Pelodiscus sinensis: one gene and its partners. The protein of the gene in region 1 interacts with the protein of each later gene in a biochemical or structural test. Links are inferred from orthologs where the notes say so. Each region holds a gene or a part of one and is shown on either strand. Other genes may lie near its edges.

The links. The genes of interacting proteins can lie anywhere in the genome.
Region 2: the proteins of AHR (region 1) and HSP90AA1 form a complex in vitro, tested with the Homo sapiens proteins (2 studies listed by BioGRID). The link is inferred for Pelodiscus sinensis from reciprocal best matches to the Homo sapiens genes AHR and HSP90AA1.
Region 3: the proteins of AHR (region 1) and ARNT form a complex in vitro, tested with the Homo sapiens proteins (14 studies listed by BioGRID, with this or other methods). The link is inferred for Pelodiscus sinensis from reciprocal best matches to the Homo sapiens genes AHR and ARNT.

The regions. Positions count from the first base shown.
Region 1 is NC_134712.1:202,993,696-203,001,537, forward strand, and holds the start of AHR (aryl hydrocarbon receptor), read right to left. Parts: upstream 3,015-7,842; 5' UTR 2,605-3,014; coding exon 2,549-2,604; intron 1-2,548. UniProt on the Homo sapiens protein: Ligand-activated transcription factor that enables cells to adapt to changing conditions by sensing compounds from the environment, diet, microbiome and cellular metabolism, and which plays important roles in development, immunity and cancer.
Region 2 is NC_134714.1:22,309,282-22,317,225, reverse strand, and holds the start of HSP90AA1 (heat shock protein HSP 90-alpha), read right to left. Parts: upstream 3,011-7,944; 5' UTR 2,851-3,010; intron 1,351-2,850; coding exon 1,192-1,350; intron 1,095-1,191; coding exon 728-1,094; intron 435-727; coding exon 301-434; intron 1-300. UniProt on the Homo sapiens protein: Molecular chaperone that promotes the maturation, structural maintenance and proper regulation of specific target proteins involved for instance in cell cycle control and signal transduction.
Region 3 is NC_134734.1:21,819,296-21,827,014, forward strand, and holds the start of ARNT (aryl hydrocarbon receptor nuclear translocator), read right to left. Parts: upstream 3,011-7,719; 5' UTR 3,005-3,010; coding exon of another isoform or gene 2,866-3,004; coding exon 2,844-2,865; intron 1-2,843. UniProt on the Homo sapiens protein: Required for activity of the AHR. Upon ligand binding, AHR translocates into the nucleus, where it heterodimerizes with ARNT and induces transcription by binding to xenobiotic response elements (XRE).

The sequences.
Region 1 (7,842 bases):
CCCTTTTTTTGGCCAAGAGTATGAACTTTGATCAGTTTTTAACTGGGCAAATAAGAACCCTCAGGCCTGCAGATACAGTGTTGCCCACAGCTGCTATCAGAATATAGATAAAAAGGCAGTATAAAATTAAACAAAGAAAGGGAAATAAATAAGTAAAGGTAGACTGAACAAACAAAATAATCTTACATAAGTTATTTGTCAATCCATCTGGATAGTAAATAATACATATAACTGTTTTTTAAACACGTTATAAGCCAATACAAAATTATGACTAGATTAAAAACAAAAATATTTAATATTTAAAAAGGTTTATTTTCCCTTTTAGTCCTAAAAAAAGGGAGCTCTTTTATGACAAAGACACCTCAAGACTAATTTTTTTAATTTAATTTCCACTCATATGTTGATTTACATAACAAAGAGTCTTCAGATTCAAATATGGTAAGTGTTGCAAATTAGAATAAAGAATATAAAATACTAAGCAACTTTAGGATCAGACATTTTTATATGAAGGTATAAAAATACTGTAGAAACAGTTTTCAGATCTGATTAGAATTTATTAGCAAACAAAGCATTAAGACCTCTGGTCAAAAAGAGCGAATAGCTATACAACAGATCCTTAAATCAAGATTTGTGTGTGCTTTAAAGGATTAGTCAAGAAAGTATGTAAACAGAGCTGGAAAGTTATTTGCAGTAGGGCAGGTGCTACTGCGCTTGCGCATAACTGTAGGAAAAGTAAGTATTTCCTATATACTTCTATATCTTGAAACAGGGTAAGTATTTCCTATATACTTGTATATCTTGAAATAGGGCAACTATTTCTCTCTAAATTATAGATTTATATTGCTTAACAGTTCTATAACTTCTATATTTTAGCTTGGAAGTGACTAGCCGCATTTACATTAAGTAATTTACTGACACTTCTGCAGAGTTTTGGTAGAAATCATCATATACATTGCTTTTCACTGATTAATTCACTCCACAAACATAACAGAATTTCACTTAAAGCAAAATATCCATGTATAGAAATATTTCAATAGCAGCTGCTGTGGTTGAATATGCATTCAACTGATCCAAAACAGGGAGCTGAATGATATAAAGGAATTTGCTTACTCAAGTATGTTAGAAGTAGTTGTCTTTTCCCCCTCATCAGCTCAGTAGATTACTTCATAAATTTGTGGTTAATTTATGCATCTTTATGTAGTAGATAAATGTGAAAGTTAACAATTTCCTTTAAAATTAATTTCAGATTAAAGGAATCTGCTAGTGAATCAGGTACAGCCTTGGGCCCAATCCTGTCTATACTTGTGTAATAAAACTAGCTTTACTCAGGCAACCAAATAATAATTTTATTTTTTTTAAGATGCGGCAATAGTTTCTGATTTTTATGTTTGCTTGGCATTAAATGAATATAAATTATAATGGCAAAATAAAAAAACTTTAGGAAAAAACTATTTAAATATTCCCAAAACAGGATGACATGATTACACATGATCTATTGTCATGTCCCAAGCACCTTGTCAGAGACATCCACTTTCAGAAACCATCACTCTAGATATATTACATTTTAGGGGGTGGCAGGTAGTGGATCTAAAGTATAAGACTTCATACAGAGTGTAAGTGATTAGTTAAAAGTCACAGTACCAGACAAAATACAGGACTATGTAACACTTTAAAGACTAACAAGATGGTTTATTAGATGATGAGCTTTCGTGGGCCAGACCCACTTTCTCAGATCACCAGAAAGGACACCAGAAAGTACCAGACAAATACACTGCAGCAGTGACTTGTAACCTACACACATATCCAAGTGGGGACGAGAAGGGGCAGCCGTGCACCCAACACAACTACACATACACTCGCCGCAGCGCAGCTAAGCAAAACAAGAAATTGCTCCATCACTGTGACCAACAGGACTTTTTTTTTAAAACTGCATGTGTCGTTTAATTACGTTTTCACAACTAGTTGAACTGGTGGGAGCTCGGGTAGCCATCGCTAGGGACAGCCACCTTAAATGCTTCCTAGTCTAGGTCAGGTAACCCAGCCACATTGAACCTAAAGTCATTTCTTCTTCCTTCCTTCCTCCCCTCCCCCGCACCCAAGTCCTCATTCTCCCTTTTAATCACCATCCTTACACAACTGGGTCATCGGTGCCTGTTCACAACAGGACTCTGAACGTAACTAGCTACAGACTTCCCTGTTGGGGGAGGAGGCTGAAAAGGGGACCTCCCGGAGCCCCACGACTAGTCACGCCTACGCCCAGCGTTGTGGCAAGGGGGCCCCAAAGCCGCCGAGAGGGGAAAAAAGCCCCGCAAAAGCGCACCAGGCACTGCAGCAAACGGCCCCCGGGTAACCCCTGCCTGCGGTGCTGCAATCCCCCAGCTCCCGAGGCCCAAGCGCAGCGGGCTGCAGACTCCCACACGGCGCTGGGGGAGCGGGGAGCCGCTGCGGGGGGCGCAGCCAGGGGCCGGTTTGGGTGAGCCACTGACAGCCCCGCTAGGGCCAGGAGCTTCCCCCCGCCGCCCCTGCTCCGCCCAAGCTCGTCTCTTACATTTTCTGCACCGGCTTCCGCCGCTTGCGACTGGCGTAGGTGACATTGGGGTTCATCCTGCCGCCGCGGCTCCCCGCACCGCAGCCGCGAGTCCCCGGCGAACCCGCTCGGCGCCGCAGCCCGCAGCCGCCCGGCCCTGCCCTGCCCGTCTGCAGCGCGCCGAGCGCGGCTCCGCTCGGCCGAAGGAAGGCGGGAGCCCAGGTGATCAGCGCCGGCGACACCCACCAACCCGCTGCGGCCCCGGGGACAGGTGCGGGGGCGGCCGGGGCTTTCCAGATCCCCCTGCCCGGCAGCGGCGGCTTCTCCTGGCGGGGCAGATGGAGGCCGAGCCAGCAGCGCGCCCCGAGGCTGCCGCTGCAGGGTGCGACGATGCTTCTGCCCCGGTGCGGCCGCCGCGGGCCAGGCAAACGTCTGCCACAGTCCGCCGCCCCCGGCCGCTGCCGCCGCGGTCGCAGAGCCAGCCACCCAGCAGCCCGGCCCCTGCTCTCCACGCCCCGCGGGGGGAGGCTCCGGCGGCGGCCTACGTGAGGGAGCCGCCTGCGCCGCCATGTTGGGAAGGTCAGGCCCGCGGACATGCCCCGAGAGCCGCCTCCCGCTAGGAACAGCCCGCCCCGCACGCAGCTGGACGCCGCCTCGCTAGCGCCGCCAGCAAGGACAATGACCCGGCCCCGGACCTTCCGACAGGCCCCGGCGCTGCTCGCGTCCGGGCACCGCCCGTAGCTCCACAGCAGCGTGAGCAGCCGCCGCAGGGAGGCAGGAGCGGGGTGCTGGTGGGGCCTGGGCCTGCTCTGAGTCCTGCGGTGCGGGGGAAGGAGGGTGGCTCGTGCTCTCCCCTCAGCCCATGATTTCCCCTGTTTCGTTCGGGGTGTCAGAGGCGCAATCAGCCGTTGTGGCTTTACATTTTTAAAGGAAAAACAAAATTATTGCAAGCGATACGGGCTGCTAAAGCGCTCCTCCGTCTTGCTGTTCAGGCACAATTGTGCCCTTTCGTTAAGGGCTGTGAAACAATGAAATCCTGTCATGGTTAAGTGTGAGATTTAAAAGAAATAATTATTGGCGGTTTGTCATACTGTTACATGATCCATGTATTCTACTGGTGTTTATTTATGTTTACATTTGCAGAGATTTCAATTGCATAATGTACAGTGCTCATTCTATATTTTTATTTGCACTGTAAAAAGATAATTGTATTTTTCAGTTCATCTCATACAAGTACTGTAGTGCAGTGTCTTTATTGCAAAAATAATTCCACTATTCCATTAATTCCACTAAATTGCACTATTGTTTTACATAACTGCACTCTAAAATAAAATATTAACATGTCATCTGATAGGGTGGCTGAAGTATGAAGAGGCATATAAATATTTAGCAAGTCTGGCATGTAAATTTACCTTGCAACATTGCCTTCAAAGAATCTCTGTTCTCACTTTCAGGTGGCATTGTAAATAAGCAGGCAGCATTATCCCCCATAAATGTGAAACTTTGTCTTAGCCAATTGCTAACAAGAAGTTAGGACTGACTGAGTGGACTTGTACGTTTTTTAAGATTGACCTTGTTTTGTTTTTGAGTGTAGTTATGTAACTAGAAAATTCTACATTTGCAAACCACTTTCATGATGAAGGAACTGCACTATAGTAGTTGTATGAAGTGAATTGAAAAATACTATTTCTTTATCTTTTTACAGGGCAAATATCTTAAATACAAAATAATATAAAGTGAGCACTATTCACTTTGTATTGTGTTGTAATTGAAATGAATGTTTGAAAGTATAGAAAGGCATCAGATATTTATAATATATTCCAGCTGGTATTCTTGTTTAACAATGTGATGAAAATGGTGACTAATTGCTATATTTTTTTTAAAATCAAGTTATTTCTCTTGACTTAATCACAATAAACTCAAGCAATTAACAGTTCTAACTGCCTATTTTTTCTTCTCCCTTCTACATATTCATTTGAAGAGAAGGCCAATTGATAGGCAAGGATGACAAATAGGGGTAGCTCAGTGTGCAGCAATGCATAGGATTGACTAAAGTAATTGATTAAAGTAATTCAGATCAGCAAGGTTCTTTTCCCCCAAGTAATAATACAGTTTGTCAAAACTCAGCCAGTGGCAGCAGTCTCTAACTAAAAAGCAAATTATATACAAGTCTGTGCTAAAATAAAAACCCTGCTTACTTGCAGTGAAAGAAAAGGACCCAATCTTGCTCCCATTGAAATCACCTGCACAGTTCTCATTGGTTTCCAGGGAAGCATGGGCCTCCAAAAGAGAAATGAATTAAAGAGAAACATATTTTTCTTGCTTTTAGGTTTCCCCAGCACTGTTCATTTTAGAGTTCTCTACTTCAGCCACAAGGAGTGAGAAACTGAGGCAGTGTCTTTGGTGTTGCTTACAGGAGCTTGCCAGAGTGTAAGGATTAAAACAATTGGTAACCCCATCTGCATATTTGTTCTGGGGTTATTAAAACCAACACAGGATTCTGCAAATCTTTCTGTTTGGGTTTGCTGATAGATATAATTAACGATAGTGCATATATTAATATGCTAAGAGTAATTATGCTGTGTAATTGCTAAGAGAATAGTTTAGTGTTTATGCAAATCAGACAGCAAGAATCAACAAACACATGGAACTCTATAACTGCAAAGCTGTACAGTTAAGCTTCAGTAATTCTAAAGCTTCCCTGCAGCTGATTGTCATTACAATATTTGTTCAGTATTGATAGTATGCTCAATTCAGTACAAAACAGAAGGTGATAATAGTCCTTGTACTGAGGAAATTGCAATCTGAATAGCACAAAACATTCTGGTCAATTATCAGTCTTTTTTGGTGACTCAGGTGTTTACTTCTCAACCTATGGGTGTGGCAAAATATAGCAAAGCCACTGTATTGACTTGACAGCTAAAATAAAATTTTAAGAGGCAGCAAATTCCAAAGTGAGTTATAAAACTATATAGAAAATATATTTAGTACATGAAGCTTACAGAAACTTATTGAAAATGTAATATAACAGAATACAAAGTATTTCTTGAGTAGGTTTGTTCTTTTCTCATAAGAACAGCCATACTGGGTCATACCAACAGTCCACCTAGCCCAATATCCTGTCTGCCGACAGTGGCCAATACCAGATGCTCCAGTGGGAGGGAACACAACAGGTAATCCACACGTGATCCCTCTGCTGTCACCCATTTCCAGACAAATTCTCCATTTGTTTTGTCATATTACTGGCCAAACAGACCTGTTTCTCCACTCAAATTGATTGCCATGTCCATGGCAGCTGTTTCCTATTTTATTTACCACCTTCAACTTCTTCCTCAGACCCATTTACTCTTGTTTCTCCCCATGTAAGATCTTACCAAGATTTTTCAAGGAAAAGATCAGCAAGATGCACTGTGATCTCTTTCCTTGCTCTTTTCCCACCTTTTATATTCTTTTCTCTTTTACCCATGACCAAAACTGAGATTTCTTGCTTGTTCTTTTCTCCCTCCATTTATCACGAACCTCCCATTCCTTTCAGCCTATTAAACTGGCATAGCCCTGTTGTAGCCTCCTCCTGCCTTAACCTTTCAATATTATCTAGCTCCTTTCACACTCACTACAAGCAAGTTGTGATCTGCCCTATCCACAAAATAAATTCCTTGATCCAAGCTCTCTTGCAAATTTCCAATCTTCATTCTCTTTTTCACTGCTAAGCTCATTACAAGTTGTTGATACAGTTGTTGACAAACTCCGTTGTTGACTTTCCCTTCGTGAATCCATGTTGACTATTCCTAATCACTTTCCCCTCTTCCAAGTGCTTCAAAATGGATTCCTTAAGGATCCCTTCCATGATTTTTCCCGGCACTGAGGTAAGGCTGACTGCTCTGTAGTTCCCTGGATTATCCTTCTGCCCTTTTTTAAAGATGGGCACTACATTTGACTTTTTCCAATCATCCGGGATCTCTCCCGATCTCCATGAGTTTTCAAAGAATGGCCAAAGGCTCTGCAATGACATTTGCCAACTCCTTCAGTCCCCTCGGATGCATTAAATCTGGACCCATGTATTTCTGTGCGTTTAGCTTTTCTAAATAGTTCCTAACCTGTTCTTTCCCCACCAACGGCTGTCCACCTCCATCCCTTTGAATTAAAGCCCTAAATCAAATTAGCTGTTAAACCTCATTCCAGGAGGAATAACAGCTAATTCGATTTAGAGCTTTAATTTGGAATCCCGTTTCACTGCCGCGTGTAGACGCGGGCAGTTACTTTGGGCTAGTCAATTTCTAAAATGGCGACCGGCCGGGAACATGCTAATGAAGTGCGGGATATTTAAATCCCGCACTTCATTTGCAATTTCGGTCGCCCTCATTAGCCTCCCTAGTTTGAACTAGGGGGCTAGTGTAGACATACCTTAGGTTACCTCCTTCATCCAGTAAGGGCCCCACACCCTCTCTGATCGCTCTTATTGCTAACATGCGTGTAGAAACCTTTCTTGTTACCCTTCACATCGCTTGCTAGCTGCAATTCATATTGTGCTTTCACCTTCCTGATAACTCCCCTGCATTCTTGAGCAATATATTTATATTCCTCCCTACTCATCTATCCAAGTGTCCACTTCTTGTAAGCTTCCTTTTTTTTAAGCTCACCAAGAACGTTCCCAGTAAGCCAATCTGGTCACCAACCATATTTGCTTTTCTTTCTGTGCATTGGGATGGTTTCCTTCCTGTGCCTTCAATAAGGCTTCTTTAAAATACTGCCAGCTCTCCTGGATTCCTTTCCCCTTCATGTAAGCATCCCTGGGAATCCTGCCCATTAGTTCTCTGAGGTAGTCAAAGTCTGCTTTTCTGAAGTCCAGGGTGTGTATTTTGCTAATCTCCTTTCTTCCTTTGGTCAGGATCCTGAAATCTACCATCTCATGATCACTGCTTCCCAGGTTGTCACCTACCTCTACTATTTCCTTCCTGTTTGTGAGCAGCAGGTCAAGCTGTGAATGGCCCTTGGTCGGTTCCTTAAGCACTTGTACCAAGAAGTTATCCCCAACATTCTCCAAAAATGTCCTGGATTGCCTGTGTACTGCTGTATTGGTCTCCCAACAGATGTCAAGGTGATTAAAGTCCCCCATGAGAAGCAGGGCCTGTGATCTGGAAGCTTCTCTCGATTGTCTGAAGAAAGCCTCATCTACCTCATCCACCTGATCCGGTGGTCTATAGCAGACACTAACCACAACATCACCCCTGTTGCTTCTACCTCTAAACTAAGTCATAGACTCTCAACTGGCTTTTCTCCCTCTATATACTGGAGCTCTGAGTAATCATACTGCT
Region 2 (7,944 bases), on another chromosome or scaffold:
TTAGGTTACACATTTTACACCCTATTCTGTGGCTGTCAAGAGAATCAGGTCTGAAAGCACTGCTGTTTGGCAGGAGTCCAACAGCAAGTGCGTGTGGTGGAGGGACAGGGGAGAGAAGATTCTTATTTAGGATTTGTAGACAAATGTCTATACTACACATTAAGAGTCATTAATATACTTATATCTGGTCCATCTGACTCCAGAATCATTTTTGTAAGTTATTATGGCTAAACCTTGTACTCACTTAACATTCTTTACCACCAGTTAAAATTGTGTTAGCTTTCCAAGCTGAACACTTACAAAGAGTGTAATTGGATAGCCAATAAACTGAGAATGCTTCTTCACAATTTCCTTGATTCGTCTTTCTTCCAGGTACTCAGTCTGGTCCTCCTTAAGATGCAGAATAACTTTCGTACCACGGCCAAGAGGTTCCCCTAGAATAAGGTTTGAGTTTTACAGTAAGCACCAGTAAATGTTTGGAAAGATGTTTAAGACAAACAGAAGACTACTGCTATGGTACTATTGTAACTGGCTTACAGCTTAATTAATTTTGCTGCAGATTAAGATATATCACCCTTGAGAAGCAGTTATTTTAACTGTCATTCTAGTATTACAAGATACTATATGCTACAGCTGTAGCACCTTGAAGAGCCTTCTATTCATGGATTTCCTTATACTATAAAGGACTACTTTAGAACTACCTCTACAACACCAAGTTAGCACTTACCATTATCAAGTCTGACAGTAAATGATCCTCCAGCAGAAGATTCCCAAGCATACTGCTCATCATCATTGTGCTTGGTGATCACTGTTACTTTTTCAGCAACCAGGTAGGCAGAGTAGAAGCCAACACCAAACTGACCAATCATAGAAATATCTGCACCTGCTTGCAATGCTTCCATGAAAGCTTTGGTGCCAGATTTGGCAATAGTACCCAGGTTGTTAACCAAGTCTGCTTTGGTCATCCCTATGCCAGTATCCACAATGGTCAGGGTGCGATCATGCTTGTTGGGAAGAAGGTTAATTTTCAGATCTTTTCCCGAATCTAGTTTGCTTGGATCAGTTAAACTCTCATATCTGATTTTGTCCAGAGCCTACAAAACAAGAATACAACTATCAGACCCCTCACCACACTACCTGTATTTAAAGGTAATAATGTCACTGATTGCATGTGACATTTTTCTTACTTACATCTGATGAATTAGAAATCAGCTCCCTCAGGAAAATCTCCTTGTTGGAATAGAAAGTGTTGATGATCAGAGACATCAACTGAGCTATTTCAGCCTGGAAGGCAAAGGTCTCCACCTCCTCCTCCATTGGCTGGTCTTGAGTCTGCACAGCTTCTGGCATCTGTAGAATTAAAATGAAGTTATAACTTTAAGCTCTTAAGAATGGCTCTTAGGTGAAGAATACTAATGTTTGCTCCGTTTTATGTTCAACCACCTAAACTGCTGTTAACAAGCACCACCACTTTGGGAAAGGGTCGTGGACAGCATATAGCATTTTAAATATTCAACTAAGAAAGACAAACCTAACTGGTATGCTCTTCCTGCTGGCAGCAAAGGGCAGTCCAGCTCATTTATAACCCTTGTCTAGGAAGGCCTGTCAGTGACAGATAAGTACAAGTCTCAGCTCCTCAAGAGGACGAAGGTTTAATGTGGCAGTAATTTGTCCAATTGCCTACCATGCATCTTTAAAACTCAGAGCATACAGAATTGCAAGAACAATACTAAGTGCTGAATACAGTAAGTTAACATTACAGAATCTAACTTTCAAAAATTAAGTTTCACTTTATACAACATTTGGATCTAGAATGTGACTTGCAAGACATACCTGGATAATCTGGTTAGTGTCAAATAGTCAATTTTTTTGTTTTGGCTGAATACTCAGTCCTACTGGGAGCTTTCTCCTAAAGACCACAGAACATTATAGCTCATACACTTTCAGCTTGTAACAACACAGGTTCTTTTAACAGAGAAGAGTGCCATCTCTTGCTAGGTATCTATACATCAGAGGTAACAATCTATTGGTCATGCAGGAAAAACTGGTTTTGCCAGTCAGGGGAGCCCAGTGCCATGACTGTTTAAACTTGCACTGCAGCATTTAAATCAAATCCAACTGAAGGGAGACCTCACTAGCTACTTTTCCATTGCAGTAACTAGTAAAATGCACTGCACTACAGATAGCCACCGAGAATTGGGTCAGTCCAGATCCCCAAGGGTACTTTCTACAGCAGTTCAGGCAGGCTAGACACCACAGGCATGGGAGAGTGGGCACTGACAAACATGGGAGCACAGCGCCCCCTACAGATCCAGACCTGGAACAGATTCTAGAAACTGCGAGAGCCTTCCTCTCCTCCCCCTCGTTCCACCTCCACCTCCCCCCCCAGCCGCAAGCGCAAGTCCCGCGCCCAGCGGACCCTCCCCTCCCCAAGCCGGTGCCCCCCCCGTGCCGCGCGACAAGCCCTCTTCCCAATAGACCCCTCCTCCTGCTGCCGGTCTCCATCATCCCCCCCCTGCATGTGAGCCAGGCGGGTACCCAAGGGGGCGGGCCCCCTACATACTGCGTCTCCCCGCTCCCACCTACTCTTCCTCCTCAGCAGCCACCTAAGGGCCACGAACGCCCCTTAACGCCCAGCACCGCTGTGCGCCAGGCACTGTGGGCTGCGCCCCTCACATCGCCCCCCCGCACTGCCCACCCCCGCAAGCAGGGCAGCCTGCTCCACCACACGGCGCGGAAAGGCTCCGCCATCAATCTAAGCCACGGTTCCAGGCTCAGCTAGAGAACGAGCCCGTTGAGGAAAAAACCATCCTGGGGTCGATCTTCCAGCCACCGCTCCTCGCGCCTCACCTTGGCGGTGAGTGTTCTTGGGGCTCCTGCTCCTCTAAGTTAAGCGTCCTCCTCTTTCCGCAGTAACGGAACTGGCGGCTCGCCGCCCCCCGCCCGGCTTATATACTCCCGGCGCCGCCTCCTTCCAGAACCATCGGGAACCTTCACTGACAGGCACGGGGGTGGGTAACTCCAACCTTCATCACTGGGGGAGGGGCTGACGGAGGGGGGCGGTTGCTGCGATCAAAATGCGCGTGCGCTGGGCGAACCGTTCTCGGATTGCGCATGCGTTTTTCGTCTGGCGCCTCGCTGAGGCGACTGCGCATGCGTCATGCGGAGCCCGGCTCGCACGCGCGCTCCATTTCCAATTGTCGCCTCTGAAGACGGGGATGGGAAATGCGCTTGCGCGAGGTCAACTGTCACCGGTTGGCTTCGGAAAGGGCGGGGAGAGCTAGTGCGCACGCTGCAAGGTGACTTCATTCATTGCAAGCCGGAGCCGATCTCCTCCCCTCCGAACATCCTAGAAGGAGGCGGAATCCATCAGCCTCTGTAAGTCCCGCCTCTCGGGCTCTGCCTCCCGCCCTCACCCTGCTTCCCGCAGAAGGTCCTAGAAGCAGCCAGAAGCGACGCGCTTCTCTCTGCCTCCCGCACCTCGTGTGAGAGCTGGGGGGCGCTACCCCGCCTCCAGCTGCGTTTCCCTTCAGGGTCTCTGCGTTTCGGTGCGTGGCCCCGGGGAGCCCCGTCGCGTGCTCCCTTCCATGCTTCACTGCGCGACCCCCCCCCCCCCCCTTCCTATCATGCTGCATGGCTCTAGGGCGCCTCTCCCCCCGTTCCGCGTTTCATGCGTGGTCCGGGGTGCCTCTCCCCCCATGCCACCTTACATGCACGGCCTTGGGGCGCCATCGTGCCCCGCTGCAGTGTACAGATCTGGGGCGCATCTTCCCCATGCCACGCCTCAGTGCATTAGCCTGAGACATCCCCTCAGGCTCTTGCGTGACTCTAGGGTGCCTCCCCACACTATACTGCATGGTACTGCGGCCTGGGTTCGTCACTGCAGCCCTGAGGTGATCCGCATACACGACTGGGTGGCTTTGGGTCACCCACAACATGCCATGCTGCACTGAAAGTTCCTGGGGCAGCCCCCTCACATGTCACTTTGTACTGAAAGATGTGGGGGGCACTCCCTAATCTCACCACATACTAGCTCTTGCCTGTCTACTGCATTGGGCTTCACTGGTGCTTCTCTGCCTAGCTGCTACCTCCCCCCCCCTCTTGTTGCGCTTCCTTCACTAAATTTAGGACTTGACTGCCATGCAGAGAGAACAGACCTTGCATTTAAAGTAAAGGGTTTAATAGTCTAGTTCAGCAAATTTTGAGCCCAAACGAAACAAAATCAGAAACTGAAATTTTTAAAAATTGAAATCCTCCCCAAAAGAAAACATTTTGAGATGACCAAAATGTTCCACTTAGAATTAAAACATTTAGCTCTTATTTTGACCTTTCAAAATGTTTTAGATATAAATCAGTGAATTTCATGTGAACATATTATAGCCCCTTCATTCTGATATTTTTTCCAAAATGAAATTTCACTTAAAATGGATACCTTTTGTCACTTTTGAAAAAAGCAGATTTTTTATTAGAAAAAATATTTAAACAAATTTGCCAGCTGCTCTATCTCCAAGTCTTAATATCCTGATTTTGCAGTATGATCCACATACGCAGAAATGACTGGAGTATTAGACCTAAAGGCCTGAGTTTTTGTGTGATCCCTTGATCTCAGTGATGATTGTGGGCTTTCAGAACCTTTCAGAATTGAGCCCAAAGAAACAGACAGAAAATAGTACAGCGAGTAGGGCTGCAGAAGTTGCACTTCCCTGGCTCATCTCCCCCAGATTACGTATCCACTACTGGGGTTTCTGTACCCAGATCTACCCTGGGCCCTGATCCTGCAAAGATTTATGTATACACTTAATTTTTACGCAAATTGGCAGTTATAAGGAGGAGAGTGCTTTTGTCTTTGCAAGATCAGGGCCTTAGTTTGTAGTGTGCATGTCAGTGATGTGCAGCCTTTTTTGATCTGCAATCCCCAAGCTGCGGGGGCTACCAACTGCTGGGTCCAGCCCCCGGCCAGCCAGATCTAGGCACTGCACCATGGGGGCTACTAACTGCTGGGCCCAGCCACCGGCTGGCTGGATCTAAGTGCCGCGCTGCGCCCAGCCAGCTGGAACTAAGCACCACACCGTGTGGCTGCCAACGGATCTAAACACTGTGACCCCCCCCCCCGGAAAGATATCTGTGACCTCTTTGGGGGTCACGACCCACGGGTTGCGCACCACTGGTCTATGCCAATAGCCATATTATTTTCTTAGTTTTCTATTTTAAAAACCATATTATTTTCTATTTTAAAAACCATATTTTCCAGGATTTTTTTTTAAGAAATCTTGATTTATGTTCAGCATTTTTCAAAGATCATAGTCACTAGCATTTTGCCTATATTTAATGGCTACATTTATTTCTAGCTTTCAAAATGGCAGGCAATATAAAATCCATCTTAGATGGATTTTTTTCAGAATTCTTAGAAAAATCCACTTGGAGGAAAGTGTTCACATACCAAACTTAAACTGCTCAATTCAGCATCTCCCTCTCTGCTTAAGTCCTATCCACATGCCAGCCTGTGCAAGTGTAAAGCTAATATTTTATTTATGAATCATGCTTAGATGCTGTACTCTTTTTGTTGTATTATGTGACTATAGTAACAACTATAGTGGTTAAGCTACATATAAATCTCTTTTTCATTATTTTCCAGTGCTGAAATGTCAGAAGCTTTATTTGTTTCAAAATCTGATATTTGCAAGTGGGGGGTGAGAGGTGGAAAGACAATTGAGCAAAAATAGTCAGGTGTGTTTGAAAACAAAAAGACTGAAAATGTACTTTTCCTATTATAACAATATGCAATTTTTAAATGTTTATTTGTTATCACTGTAGTTCCAAACATGAGTTAAGGAAACTGATATTATTACATTGGACTAATTACCTATCATTGGAGAACAAATAAAACAACAGGTCTAATGTCAGACTTGTTGCTGATTTGGTGATTTTTCATTGTTGGAAGGAGAAGTGCCAAAAAAGCACAGTCCTTAACCTGAGGAACATCAACCTTTTATCTTGCTCTTATAATAGTCCATACCTGTAGACACGAACAACCTCAGCTTTTTGAAAATTCAACTCTAATCCAAATGTTATGGACGTCATGCTCTGACTATGACATACCATGCTATAGGTATGCCTCTGACTACCAGATGCTGGGACTGGAGAATCGTGATAATTACCCTGTTTTATTCATTCTCTCTGAAGCTTCTGGCATTGGCCTCTATCAGAAGACAGTATACTAGGCTAGATGAACCATTTGTCTGACACAGAATGGTCATTCCTTTGTTCTTGGCTTCTGCCCACCTCTAATCAGAAGCCACCTCATAAGACACCATACAGTAGTAGGTCAAATGTGCATTGAATTTGATGGTATAGATCCTGATGCTGTAATTGCATCTGCACAGATGGAGCTTTATTTTTTGAGACTCATAGTTGTCTGCTGTGATACAGTCTTTAATTACATGTTCACATACTACTTGGGCTGAAAGACTCCATGCCTCAGTCAATCCATTAGGAGGATGGTAGAACAGAAGATTGCAGGAAAAGAAAGATTAATGTCTTGTATTCAAGACACTTGATTAAAATTCAGTGAATGGGTTTCTATTCCTATCTCTGCCACAGGATTTCTGTGCATTCCTGAGCAAGACTTTCATAATACATAAACACAAGGAGGTAAAACTAAGACTGCATGGAAATTTAATTATAGCATTTTCTAACTTCTGAGTAATTGACTTTGTATCCTTCCTGTTCTTTTACAGAATTTTTTAGGAATGTAAATCTATTTGCATTCTTGTATCATGGCCATCATAATGTTATTTGAGTGTTTCAGGTGTGAGGTACGGAAGGGAAATAGAATTTTAGCATCTGAAATTGTTCACAAAAATAGATCCCAGAGAGCTGACATAATGAGGAAGAGTTGAAATGTGAAGCTGGATTTTTTAGCACCTTCTGCTATGGATATAAAACCTAGTGGTGGCCTAAAGAAGTGCAGACCCTGTTAAGGATACCGGTTTGCAGAGACGAAAATGGGCCGGTACCCAGTACAGGCTGATATAGCATACCGGTAAGAAGTGGCTGCCAGTACTTGCCCATACATCGTTGACAATAAAGTGCTGTCATGGCAGTACTGCCGGACCCTATCCTGGGCCCTTTAAATTACTGCCAAAGCCCCAAGTGATACGCACTGTGCAGTGCTAAAGGGGAGGCTGGCAGATGCTGGTCCGGAGTCCTGCCCTTCTCCCAAAGCTCCATGCGGCTCCTGTCCTGGGAAGATTTTTAATTTACTTTCACCACTGCATGACTGAGCAAAGGTTTATGCTTTGATAGTAGTTTAACTGTAAAGTGCTGCCCCTACTGCTAAAAAGCTGTGCTGTTTCCTAGATTCTCAAGCCTTGTAACTGACTATGCAAAGTTATATGGGATACAGGAGGATATGTAACTCAAAAGAGTGATCCATAATACAAGGTTTGATAGCCACTTCTCTCATTACAAAGGATTATCTAAATTCCCTGAGTAAATCAGAATAAATTTAATCTAATTTTTTAATAAAATGAAGTTGCTGTGCTGAACTGTAGCTAGCAGCTACAAAACTGAATTATGTACTTTTTGTGTTTCAGTTTTCATGAGTCAGAAAGTCTAGTTGAAATAAAATAACTACCTAATCTTTCTTTGGACAAATAATATAAATTGGACTGTAAAAATGGCCTAATTCATTGTCCAATAGAATGCTGTCAGACTTTTGCACATGGGTACACTTGACATAAGAGGAGTCAGAAATTCACTACTTTACAAGTGATAAGCAGAATTTATTAAAATCTCAGCTGCACAAGAGAAATCAGTATTTTATCATTATCAGTGGAACTGGAGTCAGAAGGCCCATGTTCCCTGGAGGGACTGCTGTTCAGGGTAATGAGCCACATGCAGACTTTGGAGAGGTTATGTAGCCAGTTGGACCATAGTTTTTTA
Region 3 (7,719 bases), on another chromosome or scaffold:
TCCACTTTTTAATACCAAAAGGGAAAAAAGGGGTCAAAGCTTGCAAGGACAGCAGCAGACAAATAACTTATCTTACTAACATTAACCTAAATGTATACAATGCATAATTACTCAGAGTAAATACCTTTTCCTGTTTAGAGAATCAAGCTATTATTGGTGTGTTTGTCAAACTGTAGCCATGAAGTTATAAATGAGGATGGAAAACTTGTTCTTTTGACATGTGAATTCAGCAATGTTTAAAGAGTGTCTCGAATGCTAAATATCATCCAACTCAGCAGATGAAGTTGCATAAACATTTTGTCATGTGTGAACAATACAAAATACTCATTAGTGTACTTACTTTTCAGATCACAGAAGTATTATTGTACTACAAAATCTGGTTTACTTTATGAAGTGTTTCCTCCCCCCCAGCTTTACTGCACCAGGCAATGGATTTAACTACATCTCTTTTGCTCTTGAAATTGCAAGAGAAACTTCAACACTAAAAACAAACAAACAAAAACACCAAAAAAAAAAACCCCACCACCCTGGCAGACAAGAAGGGAGCAATCTCTTTTATAAAGCTCCAGTCCTGTCAACACCTACATGCTTAACTTTTTTTATGTTGAGGAGCTTCTTTGATTTGTGAAGCACATGTGTTTGCAGGATTGGGGGGTAGGGAGGTCTAAGTTTCAATCTGTTGCCCTATTCTGACCAAATGGCAACACAAGCGTCAATGATTCAAACAAGGGGAACTGACTTCAGTATGTTGTAGAATTTCAGTTCTTTACATGTGAAACCACAACCACGTATTTCTAGACGTCAGCGCTGCACCCTAGCCTCAAGATCACCACAAGCTAAAGACCCAAGGTGCTTTCTCAATGTTGAAAGCCACAAAAGGTTACTATACCAAATTATGTTTAGCTAGAATGAAAATTTCATCCTTCAAAATTCTGTTTAACAATATTTGATGAATGTGAACCGCTCTCACAGCCCAAGACCTAATCAGCCTCAAGCCACAAATGAATATACAGAAAACACCACAATTCAAAGAACACAAGCAGAGGTCAAAATTCGAATCCGCTACAACACTGTAAATCCACAATAACTCTACTGGCATCAGGGAAGTTACATCAGATATACACCAAAACAAATGAGAAAGTTTTAGCCAGAAACTTATGAGGCATGAAAGATTCAATTATAATCAGCAAGGATCAGAAATACCAGATTTCCCCCACACACCCATAAAAAAGAGCTCCTGTGTTAGGCAGAGTTTAGAAAGTTAAAAGCACACTAGCACTGCCTCTCTTGCCTATGTACATTATCAGTTTTGCCTGTCAATCAGTTCAGAAGAGATGAAATGGGATATTGTTTTTATTGCCATGAATTACAGTTTGCAGTGCCCTCATAGTTTAAGCAATTAATAACAGTAGATTTTATTTCTTGCCAGGGCAAAAACAAATCAACATATGTGCAGAAAGAACACCCCAATGTAAGCCATTAAAATAACAATTTTTTTTAAGATAATTTTCTGGAGTGCACTTACTGCATGCCAGCCAGCAATGAATTCACAGAGATGGGAAAGAGACCTATCAAAACAGACTGGGCTGTTTGCATGTGTGCGACCTTGAAGGGAAGCAGGGTCTACTTCGAAACAAGCTAGCCAGCAACATAATCCAACAAGGAGTAAAAAGCAGCAGGAAAAAATTGGGGGGAGGGATTCACTGGGAAGGGGTTGGTCCAACCCCACCTCATGCATTACTGTTAAAGGCTCCAGCCAAGCCTCCCCTCTAAGCTTAAATATGACACCCACCGCAACCCTCTGCCTAGAACAGGGTTTCACCATAACATTTCAAAAAGGTTGCCAAGTGTCTCTGCCCCCCCCCCCTTGTTGAATTGCCTTGGGTCACCAAGTCTTCCTGAATTGTCAAAATGGGACCCCATCTGGCCTAGAGAATCTGACCTCCGCCACCTTGAATTCAGTCCATCCATCCACAGCACTCCTCCACCCACTCCTTCCCACAGCCTCCCCTTCCCCTGCTTTCCCTCCCTCAGCCTCCACACCCCTCCCTATACACCTCTCCCAGCACTCCCACCAGACACCCCTCCTCCAAGACACCTCCCCCCCTGCACTCTCCCAGCCACCTCCTCCCAGCCACCCTTTCTCCAGCCACTTCCTGTACCCCGCTCTCCCCAGACCCCCCTGCTCTCCCCCTAGACGCCACATCCCCTCCCCCAACCCTCCCAGACATCCCCCAGGCCTCCCCCTAGACACCGCCCCTCGCCCCAAGCCTGCCCCCCCCAGCCGGCCCCTCTCCCAGCCTGCCCCCCCCAGCCTGGCCTCTCTCCCCAGCCGCCCCCCCCCCCAGCCTGGCCTCTCTCCCCAGCCGCCCCCCCCCCCAGCCTGGCCTCTCTCCCCAGCCGCCGCCCCCCCCCAGCCTGGCCTCTCTCCCCAGCCGCCGCCCCCCCCCAGCCTGGCCTCTCTCCCCAGCCGCCGCCCCCCCCCAGCCTGGCCTCTCTCCCCAGCCGCCCCCCCCCCAGCCTGGCCCCTCTCCCCCCCCCCAGCCTGGCCCCTCTCCCCAGCCTGGCCTCTCTCCCCCCCCCCCCCAGCCGGCCCCTCTCCCCAGCCTGGCCTCTCTCCCCCCCCCCCAGCCTGGCCCCTCTCCCCAGCCTGGCCCCTCTCCCCCCCCCAGCCGGCCCCTCTCCCCAGCCGCCCCCCCCCTAGCCTGGCCCCTTTCCCCAGCCGCCCCCCCCCCAGCCTGGCCCCTCTCCCCAGCCGGCCCACACCGCCCTCGCCCTTCCCCCGTGAGCTGCCCGGGGCCCGGCTCTCCAAGCCCCCCCGCGCCCCGGGGCCCCGCACTCACCCGGGTTGGCGGCGGCTGCCATCGCCCCGGGCCGCCCCCCCTCGCTCGCTCGGTCCCGCCGCCACGTCCAAGATGGCGGCGCAGAAAATCCCTCCCCGTTGCGGCGTAGCCGAGCCTGCCCGCGCCGCGTCCGGGGGCCCCGCTCCCTGGCCCGTCCCCATTGGGCAGGGAGGGGAAAGGGGCGGGGCCACCTGGAGCCTCGGGGAGGCTGCCTCCGCACGCGCCTCCCCAGCCCCGCCCGCGAGGGGGCGTGGCCAGAGGGGGGGCGATTTAAAGGGCGAGTTTGTTGTCAGGGTGCGTGGTTGGGTGACGTCACCGGAGTGGTGGAGGAAGGATTTAAAGGGACAGGAGCCCGGTTTTTTTTCTTGGGGCGGGCGGTTGTGCTGAGCCTGGGGCTAAGCGCCCCCCCCCCACCTGGGGCTGAGTTCTTTCCCCCACCTGGGGATCATGTGCTTCCCCTACACACACATCTGGGACTGAGCCTATATACCCCCCACCTGGATCATGTGCTACCCCTCCCTCCGCGCACATCTGGGGCTGAGCCTATATACCCCCCACCTGGATCATGTGCTACCCCTCCCTCCGCGCACATCTGGGGCTGAGCCTATATACCCCCCACCTGGATCATGTGCTACCCCTCCCTCCGCGCACATCTGGGGCTGAGCCTATATACCCCCCACCTGGATCATGTGCTACCCCCCCCCACGCACATCTGAGACTGAGCCTATATACCCCCCACCTGGATCATGTGCTACCCCTCCCTCCGCGCACATCTGGGGCTGAGCCTATATACCCCCCACCTGGATCATGTGCTACCCCTCCCTCCGCGCACATCTGGGGCTGAGCCTATATACCCCCCACCTGGATCATGTGCTACCCCTCCCTCCGCGCACATCTGGGACTGAGCCTATATACCCCCCACCTGGATCATGTGCTACCCCTCCCGCCGCGCACATCTGGGACTGAGCCTATATACCCCCCACCTGGATCATGTGCTACCCCTCCCTCTGCGCACATCTGGGGCTGAGCCTATATACCCCCCACCTGGATCATGTGCTACCCCTCCCTCCGCGCACATCTGGGGCTGAGCCTATATACCCCCCACCTGGATCATGTGCTACCCCCCCCCTCCGTGCACATCTGGGGCTGAACCCATACCCCCACCTGGATCATGTGCTTCCCCGCCCCTGGAGGCTTAGCCAATACCCTCCCGCACCTGGGGATCATGTACTTTCCCGCTTACCCAGAGCAGCGCTCTCTCCCCTCCCCGCCATACACTTCCCCTCCTCTCGTCCTATAATCTGGGACTCGGTGCTTGCAAACCCTCACATACCCAGGAGGGACTGGGCTGACCCAGGCAAGGATGTGACAACCCTTTCTGTGGATGACCTTGCAACAGGCTGCTTTTAGTGGAGGGCTCCAGCATGGGAATTCTCAGCTCTTAGCGAGTCTGCTGGGGCCTGGATTTGTTGCTTACCCAGGTCCATTTCTTTGGTTTTAAGTTTTGGAGAGATTTATCTCCATTATTCTGCCAGGTTTTCCCCCGACAGCCAGGGAGCTAATATTGCCAGTGGCGGCTGCAATTTTTGAGTGAGGCGGCAAGGGGCAGACCTTCAGTGATGGGAGAGTGTTTTTATTTTGGAAAATGAACCCTTAACTTCCTTGGCCTTATAAATTATTAACATCAATTACATGAGCCTGGGTCATGAGGAGGAAATTGGCTCCCCCGGGGCTTTTGCAAGTGAGGTTATTTTTAACTCCACCTTTGGTTAATGCAAAAGAAATAAGCCTTCCATTTCTGTAGCGTCTTCTGCACTCCCCAAACACTGTATGGGCTATGGCCTCAACCCTGCAAATTAAACTTTGCAACACAAAAGAAGGCAAGTGTAAGAGGGATGAGGCACTTGCAGCAAACATGGTTCCTTGCAGTGATGTGCAAAAACAGATGCACCCGGCCACACAAACCTGCAAATCCCAGAAGGCCAGACCTGTGTATTCCATGACCCACAGCCTCTACATCAGCTCTGGGGCTCATGACGGTCTTTCCAGCTCACAGACTCACCGTGTCGTCAAGGTTTCTCACATACTCCGGTGCCCTGCTACCTCATTCCAGTAGCATTTACTTTTTCACAGCTGTGCCGCCAGTAGCCAGGGGCACTGAAAAATCAGCACCTCCTCAACTTGTCCTTGCCTTTCTCCACCTTTCATCCAACACTTCCCGTGTACAGAGGCTGTGGGGGGGGTCCAGGAACAGTGGGACAGTGCCTTGTGGATGGCTGATCTCCCTTCCCAGAGAAGAGTAGAGACCCAGGCACTCAAGGTCCTTTCTAGGTGCTCGTTCGGTGAAAAGCCAGCTCTGAAATATCCCACTCACTAGAGTACAGACTTACCCAGTTGGTTAGGTGTCTCATTCGGTTTTGTTTGCATTCCTCCAAAACATTGGGTATTGTTATATTATCAGATCTGACAGACCTATTGTCTGTTCCGGGTGCTGTCTGTACCTCCCTGCATAAAGGAGCTAACCCGGCTTCCAATAAAGTCCACCCCAAATCTGCCGTGGACTTCAAGGGAGGCAGAATCGGAACCAAGATATTTAGGGCTCACTTCCTCTGGACTCGATCCAGTGCCCATTCAGGTCAATGGGAGTCTTCACATGCACATCAGTGGGTGATGGATTAGGCCCCAGAATAGTCCATTAAGGAGATTCTTGCACTTTTCTATGAAGCTGCTGGTATTGGCCATTGTTGGAGATAGGACACGGACTGAGGAGGGCAACTGGTCTGATATGATGCAGCAATTCCAACAGAGGGCACCAGCATTAGCTGTGTCTGTTTAATCTGCTGTGGTCTGGTCCAGTGGTTAGGGTATCAGTTTGGGAGGCCTAATACCAGCTCAGCTGTGTCACCTTTGTGTCCCTTCCCCGCCTTTGTCCATTCAGGCTGTAAGCTCTTTGGGGCAGGGCCTGTCTCACCTCTCACCATGAGGATGTGGTACCACGAAGTTCCAATCTGGGCAGCGGGGGGGGGGGGGGGGCTGCCAAGTCCTGAATAAACCTGAGATTTTCTTGCTGCCACTTTCTTCTGCTCTCTGAAAGGTTCTCAGTGAAACACGGCAGGTCAGGTCAGAGAAGGCGGGGGAACTGTTCTTGCTCCGTCCCTGGAGTTGGCCTTCCCTATGCTCGGGATGTTTCTGAGGGTGTTTGTCCCTGTTGGCTACAAGTGACCTTTGCTTCTGCTTATCCAGTAAGGTTTATGTAATCATCTTATCTAGCAGAGTTCATCTAATCTGATCCCCTGTTGGGGACCTGGCTTGACTCTGGATTACACTGGGGACGTCTCCCACATGGATGTGATAAAAATGGCCTTGGCTAGGCAGGGCTTGGTTTTGCACGAGTTCTGATCCTCTCTGTGAAGGGTATCAATGCTCTCCACAAAGCCTCTCTCCAGAACTGCTCCTCACCCCCTGTTCAGTCCCAACATCCTTTTTGCGTCCGGATCGGGAAAGAGGAGGTTTACGACGGGAGCCTGTTCCCATGGCGTTGCTACAGCGGCCTTTTCCACAGCTCCTGCTGCAGGACTTTAAAAAGGACGTCCGATGCCGGGGGTGTACGGAATGAAGGGCATTTCTTCCTGGCACCTCAGCTGGGGATCGAATTATGGGGTGGAGCATGAGGCTGCCGTCTCGTTTTCATCCTCGCCGGCACGATGGCAGCTGCCATTCTTATTTTCATAAGTACCACATCTCCGTTTGTCCCCATGATAAACTAGACATGGTCAAAATCTGCCTCCCTCCTCCCTCCTCCCCGCCCCAGCAAAAAAAGATCCCATTGAAAAATGGGTTTAAGCAAACATGATTTTTTCCACTGGAAAACAGCATTTTTAGGCCGAATTTCAGTTCCAACTTCGAAAAGTGTTCAAAATCGGCCATTTTTGGCTTTGCTCCCTGTGACCGGGACCCTGGTAACTGTGTAGCTTAGGCAACCAGGGGCTCTCTGAAGGAGAGGACCCTGGAGTGTGAGCCAAGTGGACAACAACTACCCCCGCTAGGGGGGCTCAGAGACAGGGGTGGCCCGTCCATATAGGCGAACTAGGCAGTCGCCTAGGGCACCAAGTTAAATGGGGTGCCAAATGGTGGTGAAATATCATTGAGGGATTTGGGGGTGGGGGTGCCAATTGCGTGGTTTGCCTAGAGCTCCAGTTGCTGGCAGCTAGTCTAGGGCTACCCCTGCATCAGAGACTAATATGGGCACTGCCGGAGGGTAGTGTCCCAAAGAGGATGCTATGAGCGGGAGAAAGAGGGGAGATACCACCAGAGGGAAGGCACCCAGCTGGCAAGAAAGAGCTAATTCCCAGGACAGATGGCTGGTGGCGCTGTGGTGGTGAGTTGGCCCTCTCACACATGGACTATCCCAGGGTTTATAAGAGAACTAGATAAATTCATGGAGGTTAAGTCCATTAATGGCTATTAGCCAGGATGGGTAAGGAGTGGTGTCACCGGCCTCTGTTTGTCACAGGGTGGAGATGGATGGCAGGAGAGAGATCGCTTGATCATTCCCTGTTTGGTTCACTCCTTCTGGGGCACCTGGCACTGGCCACTGTCAGCAGACAAGGTTCTGGGCTAGATGGATCTTTGATCTGACCCAGTATGGCCGTTCTTATGTTCTTACAACCAGGTTACCAAGGAAGAGTGTGGATCTATTCATCAAAGCTTTAGGCTACGTCTAGACTGGCATGATTTTCCGCAAATGCTTTTAACGGAAAAGTTTTCCGTTAAAAGCATTTGCGGAAAAGAGCATCTAGATTGGCACGGATGCTTTTCCGCAAGCGTCCGTGCCAATCTAGACGCGCTTTTGCACAAAAAAGCCCAGATCGTCATT